2 linked regions of the Tamandua tetradactyla genome follow. The protein of the gene in region 1 interacts with the protein of each later gene in a pairwise test. Links are inferred from orthologs where the notes say so. Each region holds a gene or a part of one and is shown on either strand. Other genes may lie near its edges.

Region 1 (10,515 bases):
AAAACTAGTTCCTTTCTAGAACACTCTCAGAAGGCATCTCAAACACCTGAGAATATAATCTACAAATTTTGTTTCCACCAAATAAAGGAACCCAGGCAGCATACATCTAACAAGAAGCATTGATTGTTTCACATATAAATCAATTGTCAGAACCTCTAAATCTATTTTCCCTATGGCAAAAATAACTACCATTTATTGAGTGTTTACCACAGATTAGGTGTTATACTGAAACATCTTTTTCTATTTCTCACAAAAGTCCTAGGAGATAGGTTCTATTTGTTTTACAGATGAGGAAACTGAGGCAAAGGGATAGGCTGCTCAGAGTCACTGGCTCCAACTAGTGGAGCTGGGATTGAAACCTGAGCCTATGTCTGCAGGCCAGTACTCTATTGCCTCTCTTGTCAACAGATTACTGGGATATTAATTACATTTCTACACAACTGCCACAATAGCTCATTTTGCTTGTGACACTGCTTTTACCTGGCAGAAAGCAGTGTCTGGTAGCCTAGTGTACCAAGGCAGTTATTTGATCTCCAGAACTGAAGGGCATTTTCTCTTTAAGGAAAACCCTCCACTTACACTCATGCTTGTAGTCCAAGTACCCTGGCTACATCTGTTATATCCTCAATTTCTTGCAAAGAGTACCTCATAGTTCCACAAGAATAATTCTATATCATACTCCTAAGTCTTCCTAATTTCAAATTTTAGATGTATGTTCCTTCCTGGTCTTTGAAACATAGGCTCCTATTTATTTCTATCTCCCACTTGCCAATAACATGACCTCTGACCACTGAGCCACACTTCAACACATCCAGTGCCCTCCTAAATCCAAGCACCCAAACAGATCCTTCTGTCTCCTCAGTCTATACACCCCACCTGGTGACCTCTGATGGTACGCAAGGAGAACATGCCAGTTTCTCCTTCATCTGCAATGGAAACCCCAGGCAGATCCATCTTCAGCTCCACACGCTCCCGTTGTTTTCTCTGCTCCCGCAACAGCTTCTTTTTCTTCCTGAGGAGATGGGGTTGTAGGGATTAAACCTTTACTGTGCCCAGCTGTGAGGATTCCCTACCCATGCCCTTCACTCTCTTCCATCTTCACACACTGAGGATCTCTGTGGTAGGGTTCCTCCAGCTCCTCTCACCTCTTCAGCTCTGCCACTTCCTGTGCTTTCATCTCTGCCAGGGTCCAGTTCAGCTGTTCCTCCTCCTCCTCCTCCTTGGAGGGCTGCCTTGTGGTCCCTGCTTTTGACTCCTCTTCACCTTCTTCCTCTTCTCCTGAGCTGAGGCTGACAAAACAGTACAAGAAGTTTGGTTATTTTCTCAGATGCTTTCCCTGATGCCCAATCAGCACCTGCCCTGGTTGAGTTCCCAACTCACCTAATGTCCAGGGCCTTGGCTTGCTCTTTCAGCTTCTTGGCCACGTATCGACGAAGCTTTGTTCTCCAATTCAGCAGAGATCTGCCCCCAAAATGCTATTATTGATCTTACCATTTTCCTTTGTCCCTGCTCCCTCTTCTGTTTTAGGCCCAAACACCAAATTCCAGTCTTGAGTCACGTAAATCCCAGAGCTCAGACATACCCTGCCCCCAAACCTCTGCACAATACAACATCATGGCCTTCAAAGGTCTTTTCCTGCCCTCAGGGCTCCTGACACCTTATACCCATCCCTACCCCATACCTGAGCTCCTTGCGCCCTAGCACTTTGATGTCCTGACAGCATGCCCGTATATCCTCATTGGTAGCTGGGTGCTGGGCTAATTCTTCATCATCTAGCAAGATCTATTTGGGAGAAAGGAAAGGAGTCAGAGGAGATTCTTGGACCATATTTGTGGGGTTCCTTTATAGTCATCAATTCTTAGACTCACTTCGCTGGTCTTAGAGAGGAAGTCAACAGGGTTGGCAACTCGGAGGAAGTCTGTGACTGATGAACAGTGATAGAGAGTGAGGTCACCGTCAGCATAGCCTTCAGCCTTATGGAGAGAAATAAAGATGAGCAGCCACTTCTGGGGTATCAGGAGGACCCACCAGGGCCAACTTTCCCAGAATTCTAGGACCCAAGGGTGGCCCCATACCACAAACACACCTTTGGTTTCTTCTTAGTCACCAACTCAGTAACAGTCTTAGCCTGAACTTCAACCTCCTTGAAGGCAAATTTCGGGTCAAAGAATTTACTGTCAACCTTGTCAGGAGCTAGGAATCCTAAGATAGCAAGATATTTTTAAAAGTATGCTTTGGTTATGTCCCATCCCATCAAGATGCCACAGTGAGACACTTCAGGACTCTGTCCCCCAACAGAATCTTTAAACAACCAGCAAGAACTGGCACAAACATCTTTCTCAAAGACCCAGAAAACAGTTCAAGGACTATACTAACAGTGAGAGGCTACTTAAAAGTGGTAGGATCTTGAGGCATCCTGGCTGGTCCCTCCCCAACCCCGTGTGGATTCCTGGTCCTGGTTCCAGAGGGAGCAAGTAACTCTCATGCACATATTGGGATCACGTGTACATGGCCCAATCTGTCTGGTGATGGCCTGAGGGACTTGTAGTCTCAGAATTTGCCCTGAGTGTAGAAGCTCACAGAGCTCTCCTACAGAATGCTGTGGGAGAGCAGGCAAGTGGCTGCCTGGGGCAATGGACTGCTGCCTGTAGGACATACAGTAAGTGCTCAGAACCATGAAGAAACTGTTTCCTAGAGAACAAAGAATTTAATCCATGTAAACAGAGGAATTCTGAGGGTCACATGTGCATGCCCAAGACAAGATGCATATGCAGAAAGGATTAGGGAGACCCCCAATGCTTTAGCCTGGTGCTATTCTCTAAACTCACTGCATAAACACTTAAGAAGAGCACTTGCACAGGTAAATCTGTAAAGATTGGGAAGATGTTTCTTTTTCTCCCCACTCTTCTTATGTTAGCTCCCAGTATTCAAGGAAGGTTTTATCAACACTAGCTGGATACAGGTTTAAGGAACAAACTCAGTCTAAATTCTGATTAACACATTAAAATACCAAAATGTCCAGGTTTTAACCAAAGATTATAAAACCTACAAAGAAATAGGAAGTGACAGCCCATGCAAAGGAAAAAATTAAAATATAAGAAACCATCAATAAAGACCACCTCTGGGATATACCAAATAAAGACTAACAAAATGATCCTAAATATGCTCAAAGAGCTAAAGGAAAAAAAGTAGTAAAGGAAATCAGAAAAATGACAGATGAACACAGAGTATGAACAGAGAAAGGGAAATTTGGTAAAGGAACCAAACAAAGCTAAAGACCATAGTAACAGAAATAAAAAATTCCCTAGAGGGGTTCAATATCACATTGGAGCTGGGAGAAGAAAGAATGAACTTGAAGATATGAAAATTCAAATCATGCAGACTGAGGAGCAGAAAGAAGAATGAAGAAAAGCGAGCAAAGCCTGAGGAACTGAGAGACCATCAAGTGTACCAATATACATATTGCAGGAGTCCCAGGAAGAAAAAAGGCAGAGAACGTTCAAAGAAATAATGGCAGAAAACTTCTCAAATTAACAAAAGACATGAATATATTCATCCAAGACACCCAATGAACTTCAAACAGGATAAACCCAAACAGACCCACGATGCAGCTTATTCTGATCAAGTTGCTGAATACCAAAGATGAGAGAATTCTGAAAACCACAAGAGAAGAGCAACAAGTCACATACAAGGGAGCCTCAATGAGACTGAATGTGTATTTCTCATCAGAAACCATGAAGGCAAGAAAGTAACAGAATAACATTTTAAAGGTCTGAAAGCAAAAAAACTGCCAACTAAGAATCCCATATCTAACAAAACTGTCTACCAGAAATGAAAGATTAAGACATTTCCAGATAAACAAAAGCTGAAGGAGTTTAGTACCATCAGACCAACCTGACAAGAGATGCTAAAGAGAGGTCTGCAGATTGAAAGGAAAGGACAGAAGACAATAGATCAAAACCACAAGAATAAATAAATATTCTCTGGTAAGGAAAATGACAAGGGTAAATATAAATATCACTATGATTGTATTTCGTGCTTCTAACTCCATTTTTAACTTCCTATAGGATCTAAAAGGCAAATGTATGAGAAATCAGTGGTTTGGGACTCATAATGAGTTATGTGCATAATTTGTAATGACAACTACATAAAGGTGGGGGGATGGAGGGGTACAGGAACATAGTTCACCTATTCTATGGATCTGAGTAACTTGGGGGATAGGAATATGTTGAAGGTTCCCCCATGGGTTTGTATTATTTTTATAACTGTTGTGTAAGTTTGAAAACATTTCAAAATAAAAAAATTTTAAATTAAGAAAAAGAGTATGCTTTGGTAGTTGAGAGACTGAATCAAGGCAAAGAAGAAAGTGGTGCCTACCCTGGCAAAACACAAAGATCTCTGCAGATTCATGGCGAGAGGCTTGAGGCTTGGTGGCCTGGACACGGCGAAACAGCTGTTGGAAAATCCATAGTAGGGGCTGATAGTCACGAGAGCGGAAAACCTTTGTGATGAAGCAGCCACCACGGGCCAGAAAATCACAAGCCAAACGCAGAGCCATGAGTGTCAAATGGGCTGTGGGATAAAGACAGTCAGTTCGGGACTTCTGTAGCCTGAGAGGACATGCCCACCTCCGCCCTCACCCTCATCTCTCCCTCCCCAGGTACCTTGTGAGTAAGCATCATGGACCCAACTAGCCCCAACATTGGGTGCCCCATCATTGAGCACAACATCCACCTTCCAGGTCTTTAGCTCTTTCCTCAGGGCCTACAGAGAAGTAAAACGATTATGGCAGCAGAAACAAAGGAGTCCCTAGGAATGGAGTCCCTGGGTCAGTCATCTCCCTACTCATTTGTTGAATGCCTGCCATGAGCCAAATCTTGTTCTAGGTGCGGGGTAGACCATGGTGAACAAAAATAATGTTCCTGACTTCATGGAGCTTAAAGTCCAATAGTGGAGTTCACCAGAAAGAACTTCACTGAAGATCTCTGTCCTGTCCTCAGGTCCCAAAGACCTCATTCCCTACTCCCAAACAGAGGACAGAATAGACACTAGAAACATCACATCACGGTGCCACTGCTCAGGGCACAATATCCAGAAAAATCTTGCTTCAGTGGATTTGAGTGAGAAGAGGAAGTAACACGGATGTCTACATATAAAGGAACAAGAAGAGAGGGATTCTTATTACCTGTCGACAGCGTTCTGTTGTGATGTCCTCCTGGAGTGTCACCACACTGGGGAGAGGCTTGATTGGAACCAGGTCCACACCTGGAAGAAATCAGGTCAAAGTATTCCAAAGGGCTGCCCCGAAAAGGGAGGAAGGAAGAGTACAGAGATAATATCTCACATTCCCACCCCTTAAAACACCCAAGAGAGCCACCTGTCACTCACCCACAATAAGGCTGGACACAGGCATAAACTTGGAAGCCACCTGCAGCCTATAAAAGAGAAACAGCATTTTTAAATACCCAATGTGATCTGTCACCGCTAGTGGAGGGAGCCCTTATCAAGTGCAGTGGCCAGAGTCTGTCAAAGGTACACATTCCCAGCCTCTTCTCTGCAATCAAAAAAAAAAAAAAAAAAAAAAGACCACCAATGTTTAGGAGAAATCTATGCTCAGAGATAAGAAGTTTGAGGCTGGGATTATTGTATATAGAGAGAAGAATGCAGGAAGCATCCCAAATTCATCCCTCCCCCAACGCAACTCCCAATCTAAACCACCCAGGACTAAAAACCCGAAAAACACTATCAAGCGCGACCCGTGAAGGGTGTTATACGCACCATCCTCCTGGCGCGGCACACAGGTCCAGCAAGGCTCGAGCTTTCTGGAGGAACTGGAAGCGGCGATTGAGTTGGATTAGCTTGAAAGCAGAGCGGGAGCGATAACCTGAGAAGCGGCGACAAAACAATGAAGTCTATGCAGGGTTTTATGAGATATTTCTCCGCAGCCTCACGACACACGACCGTCAGCGGAAGAGGAATCTAATATTCGGGAAAGGGGAGCGGAAAGACCCAAGATTGTATGTTCGCTAACTGCAGCGCGAACTCTGACTCACCGGTCTCCTTCGCCAAGTGATAGAACTTATCCCGCCGACTCTTCCCAACTTTGCCCTTCTTGCCCATGGTGAGATACTCGAGTGTCACTCAATCTGGAGAGAAAGTGCGACAAGTTGGGAACGTCTCCTCCCAAGCAATATATTACACTTTCGGTGCCTTACTTTCTCAAACAATCACACGCCGCATGCTGCTCCACCTCACTCACCAGGATCTTGCGTCGTTTCCGCCACATTTAGGAACCGCGAGCCGCAAACGTACTTCCGCTTCCGCTTGTGCCCCTTACGTCCCCGGTTCCAAGTTTTCCACCATTTTGAGAGTGGCCATAACTTTGTTCTATACACGGTCCACAAGTTTTATAAATTGAAAGTTAGGACCAGGAGGGTGAACTAAAAACGGAGCTTCTAGAAAACAACATTTGGGAGGTCTGTCCCATCCTTGTCTCCTTCCAAAACTCCCGACTCGAGAAATTATAGCATCCCGGCCCCTGTTACCCTTCTGCACACCCCGCCCATTGACCCGGAACTCTTCTTTGTACCAGCCCTCGGTCTTGTCCAAGCCGCTGCTTGTGCGCTTGCGCACCAAGATTCCTATGCCCGCGGCCTCCTCTGAAGAATGAAAATGGCGCTTGATGGGCCAGAGCAGGTATGTTGATGTCGGCGGGTCAGAAACCCAGGCTGGGTGGAGAGCGGGCGTGAACCGAGATGGGTATCAGGCCGGGGCAAGATGGTTAGGGTGAACAGGTGGGCCAATACAGACTGGGCCTTGCCTGGGACCGATTCTGCTATGTCAGCGCCGCCCCCGGTGAATGAGGGCAGGGCCATGAGAGGAAGACTCGGTGGGAATAAGTGAGAGGAGTGATGGGAGTGCATCGGGACCAGCCGCGAGTTGCAAGTAGGTTGGGGACAGAGCACCCGTCCTTCCTGCCCTCTCCGCTTGTAACACCTCGGGTTTGTATGGCGATCGACGCTTTACAAAGCTTTCAATGTATACCGTTTCTTGAGCCTCCTGCTTTCATTTTATTTTAGTCATGTGAAAATGGGGTGGGGGGTTGCAGAGGGGTTCAGAAGGGATTAGAATCCAAATCTTATGCTCCAGTGTCCAAGCTCTTTTTTACCGCATAAAGCTGCCTGTTATTTATGCCTTGTGGTTTTTAATCATTTGGATGCTTAGCCTGTTGTTGTTTAATAATTATGGTGTCTTCAGATGGAGCTGGAAGAGGGGAAGGCAGGCAGTGGACTCCGCCAATATTATCTGTCCAAGATTGAAGAACTTCAGGTGAGGACGGATTCCACAGGGAGTTGGGAGGGGAATGATTGCTTGAAACCCATTTCTGCAAATCCATGAATTCCATCCCAGGGTGCAGTGGAAGAGTCTTATTCCTTTCCTTTTCTTGTTTCTTTTTAGTTTTTTGAGAGAGGTGTACATTTAAGAAGAACTAATGCACTGATAAGTTGAGTAGCTTGAAATACTAGTGGTCAGTGAGAGGGAGGGGTAAAGGGTATGGCATGTATGAGTTTTTTTTTTTTAATTTCTTTTGCTGGAGAGATGCAGATGTTCAAAAAAAATGATCATGGTGATGAATACACAACTATGTGATGATATTGTGAGCCATTGATTGTAACCATGTCAAGAATGTTTGTGTGTTTGTTATTTACAATAAAAATATTTTTTTTAAAAAGTACTAAGCCAACAATATAAAGTATATGAAATTGATGATCTCTTGTTCTCTTGAAGTCCCACCCCTTTGAGGGTAGTCAGTATTCACAATTTGTTATACATCTTCAGGAGTCAAACTGAAAGAGGGCTAAATGAGAGAATTTCTTATAGAAGGCAAGATAGAGGTCCAGGAGATGAGTCTTACCAGAGTTTGGAGCAGGTGAAATTAGTGTGAGGGAAAACAGCATTGTGGGCTCTGGACAATGCTTATTTTATGGGACTGAATAAAAAGGAATTGACCACCCAGGGCTGTTGCCTTAAGAGGGGGCAGGGACCATAGAAATAAGAAAAGTATATAAATTAGATGGGGGAGAAGCCACATGGAAAATTTCGGGACTCAAGGTACATTTGCAGGTATTATATTTTGTGTATCATTTTGAAAATGCTATTATATATTTCATTTGTTCTTCACCATAGTTCTAAAAAGCAGCAGAGTATGTGATGCTATACTATGTATCTGGAAACAGATCTTTTAAGTAGCATGCCCTAGCTTTACCTAGCTGGCAGTGGTCAGGCTACAACTCCAGTTTCTGGCTTAAAAGCTAGAAATCTTTCCACCACACCATGTTGCCTCCCCCAGAATTCACTACATGAACCAGCTCTAACTTTTCTTCATTAGGGTCTATTATTTCTGGACCAGTATTGGACAAATAGCCTTTTTTGATAGCTGCCCCATAGTCCAGAGGGATTCTTGGAGGACAGAACAGGGTCATTAGAATATTAGAGAATCTGAATAACGTATAGGTTCCCTGTGCCCTTCCCTCACTCAGCTCATACCTACTTATGAAGGGTTTTGGTCAAGCTCTACCTTGCTAACTTCTGCCCTTGGGTAATGCAATATCTGTCTCTTGTCCTCTATAGCTGATTGTAAATGACAAGAGTCAGAACCTCCGGCGGCTGCAGGCACAGAGGAATGAGTTAAATGCAAAAGGTGAGGGGGGAAAGATGGGAGGGCTGCATGTGGGCAGTGGCTAAGGTTTGACTGTTCCTGGTCTCTGAACTGTCTCTGTTCCCGTCTGTCTGAACAGCAGTGCTTATTGTTTTCTCCCAATCCAAGGTAATGTTTTGCATTGTCTTCATGTAGCTGTTTCACATGCACATTACTTTCCTGAGCTATAACCCCTTAAAGATAAGTATTGTTGAGGGTTTTTTGTGATCTTCCCTTCAGAATTTCAAAATGTTCATGCTTGAATTGAATATGGGTGAAAGAATACCATTGTAAGTGACCATTATGTCTGTTTTCCTACCTAGTTCGTCTGTTGCGGGAAGAGCTTCAGCTGTTGCAGGAACAGGGCTCTTATGTGGGGGAAGTTGTCCGGGCCATGGATAAGAAGAAAGTGTTGGTTAAGGTAAAGGTGATATGACCCTGGGGACCAGCCTCAATTGCTCATTGCATCCCTGCCCCTTTGTGTGAATTCTTGAAAGGATCGTGTTCTGTCATGTTACTGTAGGACTCTCATGGGTCTTCCTGGGTAGGGTTGCTAATTTGGAGGCTTTCAGGGAAGGTCATGAACACTTGTTTCTTTTAGGTACATCCCGAGGGCAAGTTTGTTGTAGATGTGGACAAGAATATTGACATCAATGACGTGAGTAAGGCAGGTAGTGGGGATAAGGGTCAGCTCCCACTGGACCACTTCCTGAAACTATTTTGCTCCCCTTGCCCAGGTGACACCCAATTGCCGGGTGGCTCTAAGGAATGACAGCTATACTTTGCACAAGATTCTGCCCAACAAGGTAGACCCATTGGTATCATTGATGATGGTGGAGAAGGTGCCAGATTCAACTTATGAGATGATTGGTGGATTGGACAAGCAGATCAAGGAAATCAAAGAAGTGATAGAGCTGCCTGTTAAGCATCCTGAGCTCTTTGAAGCCTTGGGCATTGCACAACCCAAGGTGAGGACAGGGCTTCTTTGAGAAGGCCGTGCTGTGCTGTATCACTCCCACCCTAGGCCAACCCCTCTCCACTGGAGAGGCTGGGGGTGTGATGTTTCCAGGGCTCTAGGGTGATTTGGATTTAAGCTCCAGAAGGGACCTTGACATTCAGTTTTTGTATCCCTAGTCTCTAGCATGCCACAGTGGGCATTCAGCAGATGTTCATTGGATGAAATGAGGAGGCTGGCTTATATTCTGAGTCCCCTTATATCCCTCTAGGGAGTGCTGCTGTATGGACCCCCAGGCACAGGGAAGACACTGTTGGCCCGGGCTGTGGCTCATCATACGGACTGTACCTTTATCCGTGTCTCTGGCTCTGAATTGGTACAGAAATTCATTGGGGAAGGTAACAGTGGCTAGGAACATGAGAACCAAGTGGAAGCGAGGGAGGCAAAGGTCCCATCAGTTCTTAACACCAGCTTGGCCTCTGCACAGGGGCAAGAATGGTGAGGGAGCTCTTTGTGATGGCTCGAGAACATGCTCCATCCATCATCTTCATGGATGAAATTGACTCCATTGGCTCTTCACGGCTGGAAGGGGGTTCTGGAGGGGACAGTGAGGTACAGCGCACAATGCTGGAGCTTCTCAACCAGCTGGATGGCTTTGAGGCCACCAAGAATATCAAAGTAAGTACTCTGAATGAAAGGAAGGCCCTGGCTGACTTGCAAGTTGAAGAAGAGCTTGGCTGATGCTCTCCCCACCCCCTCTCTGCTCAGGTTATCATGGCTACTAATAGGATTGATATCCTAGACTCAGCACTGCTTCGTCCAGGGCGCATCGACAGAAAAATTGAATTCCCACCCCCCAATG
Region 2 (9,528 bases), on another chromosome or scaffold:
ATGGGAATGACCAGAGAGAATGACTGGACCCCCAGGGGACCTGGTTTCTCAAAGGAAAGGAAAGTACAAAGCATTCATCCTGAGAACTTTGAGACCTCCAGTCTCTCAGCCTCCCACCATACCGAGCCCGGGGCCTGGGCTGCTGGCCCCTGATGTAGTCTTGCAGAGTCAGTGCCATCTCCTCTTGCAGCTGATCAATCTCCTCTCTCTGGGTAATCCCAGGCCGGTCTGTAGGATGGGGAGCTGAGTTAGGCAAGTTTGGGGGCGGGGGCGGGGGCAGGCCTGCACGGTGCCCCAGGGAGGCTAAGCTTGGATTGAAGAAGCCTGGGGGAGATGGGTTCTAGGATCTGGGAGTTTGGGCAGAGGTGGTGAAGCAAAAGCTTCTGGGCTTTGGGGGATGCTCACCAGGAGAGAAAAGGGCCACGGCAGCCATGAGCACATACTCAGGCTCCTGGAGCTGCAGTCGCCGCAGTGTCCCGTGGAAGCGAAAGAGCAGCTCCAAAAACTCTACCTGGAATCCCACTGCGGGAGATACTAGGTTTAGGATCCACCTGGTCACCTCACCACATACCAGACCGCATGGCCACGTGCCCTCTGCAGCTCCAGTGCCATCTCACCATGGGCTGCGTCTTCTATCGTATAGCGAAGAGGCCCACAGAGGAAGTTTTGTGTTCGAAGACAGAAAGTGGTATTGAGTGCGATGTGACAGATTTCCACAGCTGCTCCCTTGAGAAGGGAGATCTGGTCCTCCATGGGCAGGGACCTGTGGGGAACAGGGTACAAGGGCACCTCAGACCAGCCTGGACTTCAGAGGAGAGGAACTCCCAGGCCTGACTGAGGCACTTAAAACCAAAGTTGGGGGTTGAGTTTTGGTACTTAGAAAGGCTGAGGGGTTTACTGGAGTATTTGGTTCCTGAAAGGTGATGGTGAGTCACTCACCGGAAAAAGGGCAGATCCTTGGTGAACTTGATTACTTGCTGCACCATGAAAGTGTTGATGTCTGCAAAATGTGTGAGCAGAGGTAGCACGGGGGCTAGGGTCGGCAAAGGCTGGTGTTGAATGAACAAATGAGCTGGAGGCTGCAGAGGTCAGAGCGAAAGTGAGAGGCCCTGACACCAGGACTCACCTTTAGGTCTCTCCAGCCTTGCCTTGGAAGGGTTCTGGGCTGAAGAACCTGTCCAGGCTGGGTACTAGAGAAATCCTGTCCATTGGTGCCTGGGACAGAGCCCCCTCCCCTAGGCCAGCCTCCTCGGGCACCCTTTTGGTAATTCTCCTGCCCAGATCCTCCACGTGCTTACCCCAAACTTTACGAACTGCTCAAACATGGTGCCCACGTGACGCGTGTGGGCCTTCAGGAATGTCTGGATCAGCTCTTCCTGCTCCTTGCTCAGCTGCATGGGTGCTTGCTGGGCCCGCCGCTGGGCCCGCTTTGCTCGCCGCTGTGCCAGGGCTTCTGCCGACAGGATCACTGTGTCCAGGCAAAATACAGGACGAAGCTATTGAAATCAGCACAGAGCACCTATCTCTGCCAGCCCTTGGTCTGGCGCAATGAAGCAGGGAGGGGGCTGAGACTTTCCTGGCTCTTGCTGAAGCCTAGAGGCTCCAAGTGGTAGGGGATCCCTGCACACTGGCACCACAGCAGGAAACACCATGGAAGAGGAGGGGAGGGTGGGCAGCAGAGTGGGCAAAGTATAAGGAATTGTGGCTCCTGGGGGATCTATGATGGGGGATGGGGCATGAAACCTAAACACCTTATGTTTGCATAGTACTATAATTTCAAAGATTCTTAGGTTAAATCTCACTGGATTAAATAACCCTATGGGGAGATAGGACAGGTATTAATATCCATATTTTTTCAGAGAAGTAAAACAGGGAAAGATTCCTGGGATAGGTCCAAGTCACAAAATATTCAAGTGATATATGTTAAGTTCAAACCAAGATCTTTTTCAACTTCTACAGCTTCTTTTCCTTTGCTCCATATCAAAAAATAGTGTGATGTCATGGAAAAAAGCAGAACTTGGGAGTCAGACAGAGTTGAGTTTGAATCCTAGCTCTGCAACTTTTTAGCTGAATGATCTTGGGCACGTAACTGGAGTAAAATCTCCACTTACATCATCTGTTGGAAGCACAGAATAGCTGCCCAACACAAGGAAAGCATTAAATAATTCAACAACTACTGAATACCTGCTAGGTAACAGGCACTCCATTCAGAAGGTAGAAAGGAAAAAGCAAGCCCCATAAGTATCTGGGGTATGAGCATCCCAGGTAGAGGAGAAATAGTAAGTGCGAAAATCCTGGGGAGAGTGTGCGTGGTGCATTTGAGGATGACAGTGAAGTTATTGTGGCTGGAATGGACTGAGCAAGGCGAATAGAGTGGGAAATAAAATCTGAGAGGCCGGGTGGGGCAGCTGGACTACGGAGATCATGAGATCATATACGCTAAGAAAGATGGAGGATTACTGAAGGTTATGAGCAGAAGAGTGACATAATATGACTTTGTTTTCTATAAAGCTTATTCTCCCCATGTACCCACCCCCACCCCCCCACCCCCTGCCCTGGCTGTTATGTAGACCACATGCTATAAGGAGCAAGGACAAACAGAGACAGAGTCTGTGGATTCACGGGATGGTAAGGCGCCAACTCACTGTCCTTCCTCATGCCAGCATCCAGGCACTTCTGCATCCTGCAGGCTGGGCAATGGCGCCGCTGGGTCTTGCTGACCTTACAGCTTCCAGCAAAGGGACAGGTAAGACCAGTGCTTTTGTTGACTGTTCGTCTGTGAAAGAGAAAGAAACATTGTTAGGGACAGGGATGGCAGTCACCAGGTGGCTGGGTACATCAGAGGCTGAGAGGAGATGGTCTAAAAGTCCTGGGGATCTCTGGTAAGGTGGGCTAGTCTGGGCTGTGTCCACAAGTCCCCAGAGGTGGATAGGGTATGGCACATCTCAAGCATTTCCATGGGACCACAGGATTACTCAGGAAAGCCTAGCACTTAGCTCCATGATTTGCAGGTAGTGGGCACATACTAAGTATTCTTGACTGATTTGGTGTGCCTGTAAGACAAACGTTCAGCCTTCTCTCTTATCATGCCACCTGGTTATACAGCGTTGGATTGGTGTGACGTGGCATGCTAGCCCCTGGGTAGGTGGGCTCTCAGATGCAGGAGTAACGCAGCTAGACAAGCTTGGGCATGTGCCGGGGCTTCAAGGCTGACTGACAGGCAATTTGGGGGGTTGTTTCTGTTGGGAAAGAGGCTCTCACCTGAAGAAACCCTTGCAGCCCTCACAAGTCAGGGCATGGAAGTGGTAGCCTGTGGCTCGGTCCCCACATACCACACAGTCCCTCGGCTCATCTTCCCCACTGGCCATGGCATCAGGTGTTGGGGTCACCTTTACAGACCCTTGAATGTGAGAGGGATTAACAGTCAGCTCTGGGCCACCCTTAACCCTCTTTATTCTATTCTGCAGAGCGTTTCCCCAACCCTTCCCTGGCCCTGTCCCTCCAGTATTACTGGTACTTTGGCTTTGGTGTCTGGTCCTCAGCAGATTTCCTACCTGCCCCTCTTAGGCAGCATGCCACCTGCACGCCACAGGATTGGGTGTCTCCCCAAACTCTCACGCTTCCTCTGATTTCCCTCTCATCTCAGGAGCTGCCATCGCTTGGAGTCAGGGATTGTGGCTCTCAGTACCTGAAAAACAAGGGACTTCTGTTGTATGTGGCCTCCAGTAGCTCTCAGTGACTACCTAAGTGGGGCGCAGACTCTGGACCCAGGGCAAAGGTTTTCCCAGCATGCCCATGGTGCTTTTCCCTGGCACATGGGGAGGGACCCAGGGTGGGGGATGCATAGTGGGGAGTTCATGGCTCATTATAAACTGCTCCTTATCAGATCCATGTAGATTTTCCGTACTTCTGAGCTTCAGGCCCAAATCTTCAGCTTGCTTTTTATGAGGTTCTTGGGCAATCTGGGGAGAGGGAGGCAGCGCACTCTTATTCACGAGTCAGTAGTTAAAGAACAGTAGTAACAATTCCACAAAGCTCCCAAAAAGAAAGTTTTTAAAAAGAAACCAGAGTCCAACTAAAAGTCTATGCAAAGAGCTAGAAAGAGTCCCATTTCTTAACTAGGGAGGTCTGAGAATTAAATAAGAGTGGCCTCTAATCATTTAGGGGTAGTTGGGGTTGATTTGAGGACTCTTGAATCTGAGCTGGCTTCTCGGACATGTGACCCATAGAGTAGCACAAAGGCTACTCTCAGAGGGACCCTGCGCTTGTTTAATGCTGTGCTGTTGCCATCCTGAAATTCGCAATAATTTTTGAACATTTTCATTTTGCACTGGGTTCAAAAAATTATTTAGCTTTTACCCAAGATGAAGGACTCATGAACTTCTAATTAATAAATTTAAGAATCAGAAAAGAAGAAAATCATAAACAGGAGTCCAGTGTTCCACTGGTACTGCAGAATATGTTTGCAAGTGTAAAGTATACCTATGCGTGCGTGTGTTATATTGTAGGTATGATACACGCATGCGCATGCATACCGTCCCAACATCTGTGAATAGAAGTAATTTCAAAAGGCATTTGGATGTTTTGGGGATGGTCTTCGTGTTTCGGAAATAAATGTCGAATCAAGTAGGTAAAGGAAGCAGCACGTTTTCCCATCACAAATCTGATCCCACCTACCCTGGAATCAAGTCCAAAATCTCAGTTTTCCCATTTGAAAGGTCCTTCTCACTGCACATCTCCCTAGGTATTTGCTGTTCCCACACTGCACAGTCTCCAGCTGCTGGAAATAAGCATTTTTCTAATATTCCTTTTATCATGCCTTTTGCTTCCTCAGTTGATTTAAGTTATAATTAATGAGGCTGTAAAGATGAGTTAAAAACGCCAAGTGCAGGCTGGAGTCATCCACACACTCGTGTGCACACACACTTACAGATAGGCGGAGAAGGAGAGAGAGAGAGAGAGAGAGAGAGAGAGAGAGAGAGACTGCTTTCAAAAGGTTCACGTCGCCGGAATGAGTTGATGAACCCCTTAGTTCCAAGTGGTACAGCATCCACTGTGCATAAATTTGCATTTTAAAAGAAGCTGAGTTCCAGAGGGCACAGGTGCTTGGATTTGATTGCTTGGGAGTTGATGAATATATTTACGTGTGTGCATCTGTTAGTAGCTGCTTGAGTGTGACTGAGAGAATTTGATTCAATCAACAAATAATGACTGAGAACCTACTATGTGTTAGAAATAGGAATACAAAGAAGAAGATGCTCTTCTACACGCAAGGAATTGAAATGCTAGTGGGGGCAGCAGACCTTTAAGCAGGCATAAAGAAATGTAGTCAGATTAATGATGGCACAGAGCACTATGGGACTACAGAGGAGTAGTCCCTCTTTGCCTAATCCTGCTTTGGCAAAGGGGTGTTGAGGAGGGACAGGGGAGGCTTCCTGGAGGATTGATAACTGAACTAATTTTTAAAGGATAATTAAGAGTTAGCCAGATGAAGATGTAAGGCAGTCCAGGCAGAGGGTACAACCTGAGAAGTTAAAAAAAGCCAGAGACAAAATAGTGAATAGGGTTGAACCATAAATAGTCCTCTCTTACTGAACATAACATCTCAGGCTGGGGGTACAAAGAGATACGGCTATAGAGATGGAATATGAGGTTCAGATCGTGGAAGATTTTATGTGTCAGGCTAAGAGCTTAGTGTCTTAGTGTATTAGTTAGGGTTCTCTAGAGAAACAGAATCAACAGGGAACACTTGCAAATATAAAATTTATAAAAGTGTCTCACGTGACGGCGGGAACGCAGAATCCAAAATCCGCAGGGCAGGCTGTGAAGCTGACGATTCAGATGGAGGGTCTGGACGAACTCCACAGGAGAGGCTCGCCAGCCAAAGCAGGAAGAGAGCCTGTCTCTTTTGAATCCTCCTTAAAAGGCTCCTGGTGATTAGATTGAGCATCACTCACTGCAGAAGACACTCCCCTTGGCTGATTACAAATGGAATCAGCTGTGGATACAGCTGACGTGATCATGATCTAATTCTATGAAATGTCCTCATTGCAACAGACAGGCCAGCACTGCCCAGCCAGGCAAACAGGTACCACCACTTGGCCAAGTTGACACATGAACCTGACCATGATACTTAGTGTCTTAGTATGCCAGGGATGCTGTGACAAATACCACACAATGGGTTGGCTTAAACAATAAGAATTTATTGACTCATGGTTTTAGAGTACCTAAGTCTCAAGTCAAGATGTCTGCAAGGCGATGTTTTCTCCCTGAAGTCTGAAGCATTATGGTGATGGCTTACTGCAAACTTTGGGGTTCCTTGATTTGTTCTTCTGCCTCTGTCACATGAAGAGGTCTTTGGGCTCTTCCTGTGGCTTTCTCTGAGTTCCATCTTCTCTCACTGATCCCAAATTTCCTCTCTCAATAAGGTCTCCAGTAATACAGATTAAGACCCACTACTCTCACTCAGTTTGGCCATTCCTTAAATAATGCAAATATCTTCGAAACGTCCTATTTACAAATGGGTTCACACCCACAGGAATGCAGATTAAGAGCATGGCTTTAGTTGGCATGCATGATTCAAATGATCACAATCAGAAAGCTCTTTAAAGGTCTTAAACTGTAAAGTTATATGCTCAGATCTGTGTTCTAGATAGCTCACTCTGCTGGCTGTTTGGATGATGTACATGAGGGGGCAGGACTGAAGACAAAGAGACCAATTAGAAAGCTATTACCTTGATGTAGGTGAGAGAAGATTAAGCCTGAGCCGAAAAAATTGTAGGATGTAGGGGAGGAGAGTGTTTTAAGAATACATGGGAGGTGAAATCATTGAAACTTGGTGATTACAGAATGTCTGGGCTGAGGAGTATGGGGAAAGAGTTAAGATGATCCAGGTTTCTAGCTTGGGTGATTGAGTAGGTGGTGGTACTACCAAATGAAAGAGAGACTACAGGAGGAAGACAAGGGTCCTTTATACTAGGGCCCCAATACACTTCCACCATCATCAATTTACTCTAGCAATAAGTTATTAAGTGTCACTGTGTAGTTAGGCACTATGGGGAGGGATAAAAGACAGTGTACTATTACAGAGGCGCAGTCTAATTATGGAGACTGCAGAAATAAATTGAACTCCTGGATCTTGCAAGAAAGTATATAATCAAACTCTAAATTGTATGCAAAGATTATGTATAATATTATAGTTATTAATTGATTCATTCATTTAATATTACTGAATGCCCGATCCATGGAGAGTACTGTGTAAGAATACATACCTATATTAACTTATAAGATAGGTAATATCATTTTTCAGATGATAAAACTGAGGCTCAGAGAAATTTAACAACTTGCACAAGGATCATTATATCCCAAAATTTATTAGACCCACTTGGATGTCATGTAGGCATTTGATATTCAATATGTCTAAAAAGGAATTCACTGTCAATAACCACCCTACCCTCCGAACAAACTTTTCTTATATTACCTAATTTGATAACTAGCCCAGTATGAGGAAGTGGAAAGAGCATGGGCTTAGGTTCAAGTCATACGGACTTAGGTTCAAATTCTGGCTCTGGCTTTTGCTAGTTGAATCACATTTTTACTCCTTCCCTACTTGTTTGAAACAGCTGAGACCATGAGACCCTGGGAGTCAGCTACCACCAGGCTGGGCCAGCTCCAGACCTGGGAAAGGAGGCAGACTTCCTTTTCTGATGTCATCGTGGAATCTTAGGTGAGGTCCAGTCTGGAAGACAGCTGCTCTGGCTCAGGGCAGAGCCTCATTATTCTTAGAGAAGTCCATCTTGAAATTCTCTTGAAATGGATTTGCCTGGGGGGCATACCTTTCTGAGCTTGCTGTTCTATGTACAGAAATGCTCCCCCAGTCTCAAGGTCCCTACCGTGGAGCAGACTGAGCCAGGGATCTGCTCCACGATGACAGGTTTCCAGGGTTAACTGACATCCTCACAGTCCTCCAACATGCCAGTCTTAGGCCAGGATCTGAAAAACTTCTCCAGTGTTCGAGGCCTGGTGGGGTGATGCTCTCTGAACTTCTTATCTTGGAATGAAGGTTGATATTGATAACATCCACCCTCCAGGCTTATTGTGAAGATCAGATGAAGTAATATATGTAAAATTCCTTACATAGTGCCTGTAATGTAAAAGGAAGTCAATACATGTTCAACCCCTTACTCTTTTGTTTTCTTCCCCTCTACTGCCACCCTCTCTCAGTTGCCACGCCAAAAGCTGGGAAATCACCTGGTTGCCTTTCTCTCCCTCATTCCCTAAAAATGCCAGTGTCATGACCTGTCATTTCTACCTCTACGTGCCCCTTACTTCTTAGCTTCATTTAGGCTCTCATCATTTTCCTCTTATTACTGCTGTAGCCTATTAAATTATCCTCCCAATTCCCAGCCTCATCTCTTAACAACTTATCCTTCATGCTATTGCTATTTCTAAAATGCAAATTTGATTGTGTCTCTCCCCTGCTTAAAATTCTTCATTTGCTTCCCGTCACCTTCAGTATAAAAACCAATCTCTTTAGCATGTCACACAAAGTCCTTTGTGATGTGGCCTCTATTAATCACTCTCGTCTATTCTCCTCCCACTCCCCGCCCCTGACCTAACACATAACATTGTAGCTCTAGAGGTGCTTAAGCATTTAGAGTTCCCTGAACAAGCTGAGCTTGTTCGCCTCTGAGCATCTGCCCTTGTTTTGTCTGGTTGAAATTGCCATCTCCCACTTCCACACCCTTCTTACCTGGTCCTCCTATTGGTTCTGCAGGCCTAAGCATGGCAGATCACCTCTGGGAGCCTGTGGGTTACGGTTACACCTACATGCACACCTTTGTCACAGCCCTTCTCACACTGCAGAACAGATGTCTCTTCCTGACTCTGTCAGTCACCTGTGAATTGTTGAAATAAGGCTGTGTGTCAGTTTGAATCTGTGGTGGACCCCAGAAAAGCCATATCCTTTAATCCTCATTCAGTATTGCTGGCTGGGAACTTTTTGATTGTTCCCATGGAGATGTGATCCGTCCAATTGTGGGTGGTAACTTCTGATTAGATGGATTCCATGGATGTGTGTCTCTCCCCATTCAAGGTGGGGTTGCTTACTGGAGCCCTTTAAGAGGGAACCATTTTAGAAAGGGCCATGAGAACCACGAGAGCCTACACAGCCAGAAACCTTTGGAAATGAAGGAGGAAAATGCCCCTAGGGGAGCTCATGAAGCATGAAGTCTGGAGAGAAAGCTGGCAGACACTGCCATGCTCCTCATGTGCCTTTCCAACTGAGAGAAAAACCCTGAACATCATTGGCCTACTTGAACCAAGGTATCTTTCCCTGGTTGCCTTACATGGGATATTTCTGTTGCCTTACTTTAATTTGGACATTTTCACAGCCTTAGAACTGCAAACTTGCAATTTAATAAATTCCCCTTTTTAAAAGCCATTCCATTTCTGGTATATTGCATTCCAGCAGCTTGCAAACTAGAACAGGCTGCATCTCTTATTGTGGGCTCCTTGATCTTGTATATG

Evidence for each region. The genes of interacting proteins can lie anywhere in the genome.
Region 2: the proteins of PSMC5 (region 1) and NR1I3 interact in a two-hybrid assay, tested with the Homo sapiens proteins (2 studies listed by BioGRID). The link is inferred for Tamandua tetradactyla from reciprocal best matches to the Homo sapiens genes PSMC5 and NR1I3.

Annotation. Positions count from the first base shown.
Region 1 is NC_135332.1:4,992,965-5,003,479, forward strand, and holds the start of PSMC5 (26S proteasome regulatory subunit 8), read left to right. Parts: upstream 1-6,350; 5' UTR 6,351-6,476; intron 6,477-6,592; 5' UTR 6,593-6,666; coding exon 6,667-6,696; intron 6,697-7,257; coding exon 7,258-7,329; intron 7,330-8,631; coding exon 8,632-8,701; intron 8,702-9,021; coding exon 9,022-9,119; intron 9,120-9,299; coding exon 9,300-9,356; intron 9,357-9,435; coding exon 9,436-9,666; intron 9,667-9,924; coding exon 9,925-10,051; intron 10,052-10,140; coding exon 10,141-10,331; intron 10,332-10,421; coding exon 10,422-10,515. Other genes in the region: pre-rRNA 2'-O-ribose RNA methyltransferase FTSJ3, read right to left, coding at 877-1,012, 1,146-1,289, 1,381-1,461, 1,682-1,782, 1,869-1,973, 2,087-2,202, 4,378-4,572, 4,665-4,764 and 4 more.
Region 2 is NC_135330.1:14,358,610-14,368,137, forward strand, and holds the start of NR1I3 (nuclear receptor subfamily 1 group I member 3), read right to left. Parts: upstream 3,760-9,528; 5' UTR 3,555-3,759; intron 3,401-3,554; 5' UTR 3,369-3,400; coding exon 3,262-3,368; intron 2,777-3,261; coding exon 2,646-2,776; intron 1,469-2,645; coding exon 1,299-1,468; intron 1,080-1,298; coding exon 940-1,079; intron 764-939; coding exon 618-763; intron 523-617; coding exon 406-522; intron 235-405; exon of another isoform or gene 229-234; coding exon 123-228; exon of another isoform or gene 1-122. UniProt on the Homo sapiens protein: Binds and transactivates the retinoic acid response elements that control expression of the retinoic acid receptor beta 2 and alcohol dehydrogenase 3 genes.